Drosophila melanogaster: one gene and its partner. The protein of the gene in region 2 purifies or fractionates together with the protein of the main gene of each other region. This does not show direct contact. Each region holds a gene or a part of one and is shown on either strand. Other genes may lie near its edges. The genes, in order: DCTN4-p62 and Arp10.

What was found.
Region 1: the proteins of Arp10 (region 2) and DCTN4-p62 purify together in Drosophila melanogaster (affinity purification with mass spectrometry, with the first as the bait; one large-scale study listed by BioGRID). This does not show direct contact.

The regions. Positions count from the first base shown.
Region 1 is NT_033778.4:7,666,922-7,670,847, forward strand, and holds DCTN4-p62 (dynactin 4, p62 subunit), read right to left. Parts: upstream 2,109-3,926; 5' UTR 2,025-2,108; coding exon 480-2,024; 3' UTR 327-479; downstream 1-326. Other genes in the region: Rdh1 (retinol dehydrogenase 1), read left to right, coding at 1-25, 83-314; CG12826 (uncharacterized protein), read right to left, coding at 3,629-3,926.
Region 2 is NC_004354.4:19,644,146-19,648,071, forward strand, and holds Arp10 (Actin-related protein 10), read right to left. Parts: upstream 2,032-3,926; 5' UTR 1,772-2,031; coding exon 1,701-1,771; intron 1,641-1,700; coding exon 1,488-1,640; intron 1,438-1,487; coding exon 525-1,437; 3' UTR 386-524; downstream 1-385. Other genes in the region: Ranbp21, read right to left, coding at 3,430-3,926.

The DNA of each region.
Region 1 (3,926 bases), on a different chromosome or scaffold from region 2:
CCTTCTTCCAGACAAACCTTGTGAAGTAAGTGATGAATAAGTGAATTAGGACCTTCCCAGTAATACCTGTTAACCTTCCTAGGTTCTTTTTAAAGCCAATGATTTGGCCGCTTTTAAAGACACCGAAGAGTGGAGCTCAGACCTCGATTTACGCTGCTTTGGATCCGGAGCTTAAGAACATCTCTGGCCTGTACTTCAGTGACTGCAAACCAAAGCCTGTGGCTTCTGGTGCCTTGGACGATAAGGTTGCCAAGTTCCTGTGGGCCGAGAGCGAGAAGTGGACCGGATTAGATAAGCTGGAAGCTAATAACTAAAGAAGAACGAATAGTGTTAGAACAAGCCTTTTATTATACTTGAATACTAGCTGCTGTTTCACGAACGGATTAATAAATAAATACATATTTCTCTAGCTTTCATAAAGCATATTTCATATTTCGCATAAGTCGATTAGTACGCCTGTTGGCTAATAAGTTTCCAGTTTAGTTGGCTTTCTGCTCAGTTGCTCCCGCCGTGATAAACACCCTGGAGTGGAGCACATGGGTTGTGGGTTCCCTCTTCTCTTGCGCATTGTTTACGGTGTTGACGTATGTGTACTGCATATAGAAGCCCAGAACGACGTCTGCTAATCCGGACAGCTCCTCTGCTGGGGTAAACTGTAGCCGCAAAAGCACCTTGTTGCCCTTCCGCCAGACAATAAACTTGGGCTCCTCGGTGGACAGTTGCACGTCCTCGTCGAACTCTTTCGAGTCATCGCGCTGGTTCAGAACGAACTCGCTCTCCAACGGAACTATTTCGGCATTGGATATATCAATCACATCTCGTTTTACCTCCCGTGTTGAGTTTTGACGCGACAGTGTGATGCCCACTGCTTTTAGAAGTGGGGACGAAGAAATGGGTTCCTCTTTCGCAACACGAGTGGCCTCTGTTGACAGCTGTGGATCCTCAGGAGGAGATGCAGTCAACAGTCGAATTGTCATATCGTATATAGTCGGATTCGTGAGCTTCAGCAAAATGGCGTTGCTTTTTCCTGCCACCAGTGGCTGCTCGCAGCGCACCATCACCACTTCAGGAACATGGTAGCTGGCGAAGTGCTGAATGCGGTACTTTATCGATGTGGGATGGTACTCCGGTTTGATTAGATTGTGCTCGCACTGGCGGCAACGAAGCGACCGCTTAATCCACAGGGACCTGCGCTGAGGATAAAGACTCCCAACGGCCGTGGGCTGGTCCGCCGGCTGGCTATGTCGCTGGGTGATGGTTGTCACATTCCGCAAGTTCAAGGGTTCCGTGAAAATGTTCTCCGGCAGGCCCTCCACCTCCGCCGTGGCCTCTGCCGGCGTTATCACGGCTTTAGCCTTGGGAGCCTTGTCGTTCCAGCCGATTTGGCGGCGAATAAGTGAGACGGTTAGTCCAGTGCGATCCGTCAGACTGGGAAACTTGTGCTGCTTGGGTGCCTTGCGCCGCATGAACTCCAGTTTCTCCTGCTTCTCCTGCAGCACCACCGCCTGGAAGTACTCGACCAGAGCATTAAATCGCGCCTGGTACAAGCACTCGTTATCCGGCCAGGTGCCCGTGGCCACGCCTTGGTCGGGAATGCCCACATCTCGCGTGGTCCATCGGCAGGACAAGCACGACAAATAGTACATCTTTTTTGTGGTGGGCACCGCAGAGGGCTTGCTGCTCGCCGGGACTGGGGGCGTGGCTTCGCCCTTGGAGTCGCCATCCTTTGGTTCCTTCGCCTCCTCCGACTTGCGCACCACCGGAACGGTAGATGCTCTGGCGGAAAGGGTGTGCTGGCAGCAAGGACAGTCGAAGCAGTTCGCACAACAGTTCTTCTTGTGGCGCGCCTCTGTGGAGGGAATGTTTTCCAGGCAGTTGGAGCAGAAGTGCGACTCGATCTCATGCGTCACGCAGAAGCCACAGCGCAGCTTGGGGCAGTGGCGGCAGAAGAACAGCGTGTTGATCGGGTTCAGTATGCCGCAGGAGCACGCGTACTTAACGGGACTCGGTTGCATGAAGCTCATCTTGACGACGCTAGTTTTCTCCTGGTTTCTTAGTAAATTTGCAAATTTGTCCTCTTCTTGCAGTAATGACGACAGCTGTTATATCGATAAGTCGATGACTCGATTATATGTAGTCATCTATGGGCGTACCAATGCTGGGCAGCACTGGTGAATTGGCGGTTATGAATTTATGAAATTGATTAGTACTTTTTATATCCTAGAGTGAATGGTTATAAAGTACATTACCCACTAACCAGAAGTGGATCGTCCAAGGTACTCTGTTTATCCCGCTCATTTTTTAAAAATTACTAATCCATAATACATAAAAGTAGAACAATTTTAAAAAATATCTGATCTATGGAGTATGCATCACGGTATTTCGAAGTAATTAATATAAATATTTGTGTTTATTATTAGATTATCTTCTATTTGAAATTGTGTCAATGTTCGGAATGGTAAGCATTGTCCACCCTCATAAATATAGATCTATACGACAGAAAGAAAAGCTTACCGAATCTTATAGAAGAATACTAATAATAAGAAGAATTTCTCATAAAAAAATCAAGTTAAAACTGAAATTATATATTGTCAAAAAACTAATGTATACCAAACAAAAATATTTTTTTATCATAATCAACGAAGAGATTCACATATGTATTTTTGCTCTTTAATTCAAATTAAATTGTACCTGCAATGGAAACACTTCTACGAACAGTTCTTGTGTAGAAACGAAAGTAATGACTGAAGGACATGGCTATCAAGAATATATGTCCTTCACATAGTCACAAATGTCTTCTTGACTGCGTTGCAAACTTCTTATTGAAAACAATATAACCACATTCTTACGGGTTTGTTTAGTACAGCACTTAGGTACAGCAAAATATATACTTTTTGTCTAGATTAATTTTATAATTGATGAAGAAGTGTTTTAGGCTTTAGGCTTTATTTTATATGTGCTAAATAAAAAAGGAATATGAATTCATGGACTTTCGAGTATGTATTAGGATTCCCAAGGAGAGCAAATATGTTTTTGCTTTACGAATATTTTATTTTGAACGATCACATCATCGGGAAAAGTTTATTGTACGTCATATAAGTAGCAACAATGCTATTCTGAGTTCATTAAATCACCTAAGTGGTCAATTAGCACCAAATCGCCAAACTAAATATCTACACACTTTACGGTTCATAAAATTCTTTACGGCGCTTTTCATTCAAAAGTGGGGGCGTTACCAGCGAAAGCGTTTACAAGATGCTAAAATTTTAAATATATTTTGGATTTATCGAGGTTATTGTGAAATTCCATAAAAAACTTTATAATAAAACTTTATACTTCGTTATAAAGTCGGTATGTTTGCTTTTAATAAAATGAATTTTGAAATCAGGACTCTCATTCGTTTTTAAAGTTGATATATGTTTTCAATATTTTGGATATTTTTATTTAGTAGCTTTGCGTATATAAATATAATGTGGTCAGACATGTGACCGCGTATAAAATAGATAACGTATAGGTATAAGGTACTTTTTGGTGTGGGAGCCACGCGACTAATGCTAATGCTAAGCCTATGCTATCATCCTCAGTCTGTAGTCTCAGTCCCGGCAGGAGGAGAGCAGGGGAAGCCCCTCTAGCCAAAGAAGTTGGGCACGAAGAGCTTCTTGCGCTTGGTCTTGGTCTGCCGGACGCGCACGATGGGAGTAAACTTGACATTGTGGGGCAAGGAGCCACTGTCGGAGGCGGAGACGCCCTCGCGGCGGGTGTAGCCGGCGCTGGAGGCCACCGGGGCGATGTACCCATCGTCCACGTAGTAGTAGCCCGGACTCAGCTTCTTAAGGCGGTTGTCCGTTAACGGTTTCCCGTAGGTCAGGGCGTACGAGGACCCGCCGTAGCTGTCATAGCGATCTGTGTCGTAGTTTTCGTAGCTA
Region 2 (3,926 bases):
ACATCAGATCAACGTCTTTTTTTTTCGTTTAGTTAACATGCATTATATGTATGGACCATGTGCATTCAGCGAATGCCTTTCTAACAAAATTCTACACAAACGTACGAAAACGTATTGTAATGTTTCGATATTCCATTCATGAACAAGTTAGTTAATAAGATTCAAATGTAAAAAGGAATCACCCGTCTTCATAGCATTTGTTTGGGGTGCGCATCCCCGCTAATAAATGTTAAATTGATTTTCCGTGTACAAATGAGATTCTTTTAACTCTGAGAGACGCAACGTTACATTGCTTGAAGAAAGTAAAGTTGTAAATGAAGCTGATAAACCGACATCATCATTAGAACCAAGAATAAATGTCCAGAAAACGTACAAGCAATATTTTGTTTAAAGCTCGTTAGCCTATATTTCGTAAATATTTAATACCTATATATTACAGAATAATAATCAAGAGTATGTTAGTACGCGTAACCAGTAAAGCGCCGAAGCGTACATATTTCCATCTTCCGGGACTGCCCTCGAGTCTACGAGCCTGTCGGCCTATTATCGCACAGGTTGCTCCAGTCGGGAACGTGCTCGCTCTTTAGATACGTCTCCTTGACCAGCGATCGTGTCTGGATGAGATCCGTCGCGCCGCACAAGGCGCCGCCCAGCCAGGCAGTAAAGTTTTGCTTGCCGACAGCATTGAAAAACTTGAACTGCAGCTCGCCATGGAAGCGTTCGGCGTAGAACGGATCCTCGGTGAGCAGATGCTGCAGCTCCTGGCGGAGGCGGGCCAGCAGACCCTGGACCATTGAGCCGCCGCCCACGAGGAACACACTCTCGACCAGGGCACGTCGCACGTCTAGTGTGCAGTCGAGAATGGAGCGCAGGATGAGATGCGGCAGGCTGTCCCGCTCGTTGCTGGCCTCGAACATGATCTCGTAGGCAGACTCCCGCAGGAGGCCGGGCACCTGGATGACCGCATCGTTGTCGCTGACAATGTAGTCCACGTCTGGCGCGGGAGTCGGCTGATTCTCGTCGCCGTTGGCGCGGGCCTTGGCTCTTTCCATGGTGGTCACAAAGCAGGTTCGCACCTTGATGTCCTCCAGCACGCTTTCTGTTAGCAGGCTCTCCTTAACGCCACTCTCAACCAGCTGCCGCTTGATCTCCGCGTGGATGGCGCTGCCTCCGTAGCTCTGATCCTTGAAGGCGGCCATGATTTGCACCCCGCTGAAGACGGGCATAACGCTGGTCTCGCTGTAGCCAACGTCCACCACAAGGGCAGTGGGCACTGCCAGCGTAGACAGCGCAATGAGATGCACGGGCACGAACAGCACGGAGGAGACGTCGAAGTGGACAAAGAGCACGCGGGCCAAGGTTTCACGCAGCACAGTGGATCCGAACACGTTCTCCACCAGCACGAACTTGCGCTCCTTGGGGCTGACCAGTAGATGCCTAGAAGGAAATTACATTGCAATAGAAACCAAAGCCACCGAGTCACCTACTTGAAGAAGATCGTCTGCAGAAAATCCACTAGCTGGTCGTACAGCTCCTCCGGAGTGTCGTAGTCGAACAGACGCTTCCGGATCCCCGTCGTGGTCATCACCACCTCCGTGGGCATGATCTTGCGCGGATACGCCTCCGCTGCGAATCCCAGCCTGAAAAGGGTGCAGTGATGACTTCATACCACTTTCGCCGAATTATTTGCGTTTGCTTACTTGGTGTAGGCGGTGCCAATGTCGAGGACAATGGGCGGCTTCTCCTGCATCACGCTCTCGTAAATGGGCATCTTGGCTGCTGTCTGCTGGCTGCTTGCTCCTTTGCTGGACGAACCGACTAGACCATGGAATGGTATATTGTTCAGTTCGCTTAATTTTTGGCCAAAACAAGAAGTTATCGGTGTGCGGAAATCATCGATTGACGATGTAGCGAGCAAACACCCTGTTTCCACTAATGGCATCCGTTTTACTGGCACGCTTTTCAAATTTCTGGGTAACTTTAAAACTTTGCCTATTGGTTTGAAATACATTCAATTTGGTATTTTGGTATTTTATGGCTTTTAAAACCCAACAAGATAAAATTTTGAAAGTAGCTCGGAATCATTTGGTGTCAGTCGATTATTCTGCTTTTAAGAGGTCTAACTCTTACGTACAAATAGAATCAACTTTACTTTAGTTTATTGCAGTGTACATACATATGTATGCTTTTCAGTAAGTTTACAAAACTACTTTATCGAATTTAAGAAGTTAATTTCGCGAGTTTGAAGCTAATAATTATAATGATTCTTGTGAAATTAAATTCATATATCTTAAGAACAACTTTTGTTCAATATAATCGCAAAGTCTCCGGGCGCGCTTCGTCACTACATTAACTGCCGTCCACAGTGATGTTTTCTTGCATGGATATCGTCCTGTTTGAAATTATTATATTGCGTATTACTAAAACAAGTCGGTTCCACTTTGAATTTTTAAATTTATTTCAAATTTATCTGCTTTATCTTATTTCGATTTGTGTTTTTGCACGGTCGACCGCTTCGATTTCATTATGTTTTCTTAGTATCCTGGTGTGTTTTTGGGCTATAATTATTATACTGCATAATGCATGATGCATTCGCGGTGCGGGATGTGTGATCATATACAATTTGATGTATTATATAATAATAACTTTTGCCTATCAACTAAACCTAAGCGTAATTTCAGAAATATTCCTTCAAATGATAAATGTGTACAATTATATAAATTACATTATGCCTGCGCATAGGTAACTATACAAAACGAGGAAAGCACAATTCATTAAATAATTAATTAATTAACTATGTATAAAATGGTCTTCTGGCGTCTCTGCGAAGCACCTGGGACCTGGGGCCATAGGACGAGGGCTAAGGATTGCGGATTGACGGTTGTGGGCCGGAGTATTGCTAACTAGCGATTCTAGTAGTTCCTTTGAGCAAACAAGTTTAACAAATTTCGAATAATAAATAACAAAGCAGTAACAAGTCACGAGTCACCATTTTCCTCCAGAAACTGGGGGGGAAACGGTTCGGATCGAAGCGGTTGCGATGCCCGCATGAGACAAATTCAATAAAAAATTGCTTCATTGCGGGTACGCTTAAAATTTAGTTGTTAAAATAAATAAATTAATAACTGTAAGATCTGATTGGGAACTGGGACTGGGACTGGGACACGGACTGGGTCATGGTCTTGGACAAGGGCGAGAAAAAGTGCGAACTCATCGTCTAAGCTAATTTACAGTTACATTCAGTTCAGTCGTCGCTAGTTTGGCAGCTGAGGTGGCCGTGGTCTCGACATGCTCCTGATCCCGGTCCTCGACCAGGACAGAGGTGGTGTCACTGGTGGCGCCGCCTCCGCTGCGACGCCTCCTCCTGCTTCTCCTATCCTGTTCCTGTTCGTTTGTGTATCTCGTTTTCTGCTTCCGCTGCGCTCCGTGTCACTTCTCCGGCCCAAAGAGCCTGGCCAGACTCGCGTTCTGATTGCTATCCATGATGTCAGCCGTGGTGCCCATGGATCCCTTGGCCTTGTGCGACTGCATGGGCGGCAGATTGGCTATCTGCACCTCGTGCCGGAACAACTGGTTCACGCTGCGTCCGACCAGCTGGGCGGTCAGCTTTTTGAAGATGTCCTTCTTGGCGCGATCCACTTTGTTGCCCTTGACGGGCGCCACGGCAATCTTTTCGTCGAACTTTTGAATGTCGGCCGCATTCACGCTGGGGATATGCTGCAGCACTTCGCTGAGAATGGGGAACTGCGGACGGAGCAGCTCGTAGAACTGCACGCCCAGCGTCACCAGGCCCGATTGGTTGGCCTCGTGCTGACCGTGCACCTGCATGCCCTGCAGGACGGCGGTAAAGGCCGTGACGGCCTTGTTCTCGTCCATTAGTTTCTCGGCGGCCAGGAAACGCATCACGGGCGCTGCGATGTTGACAG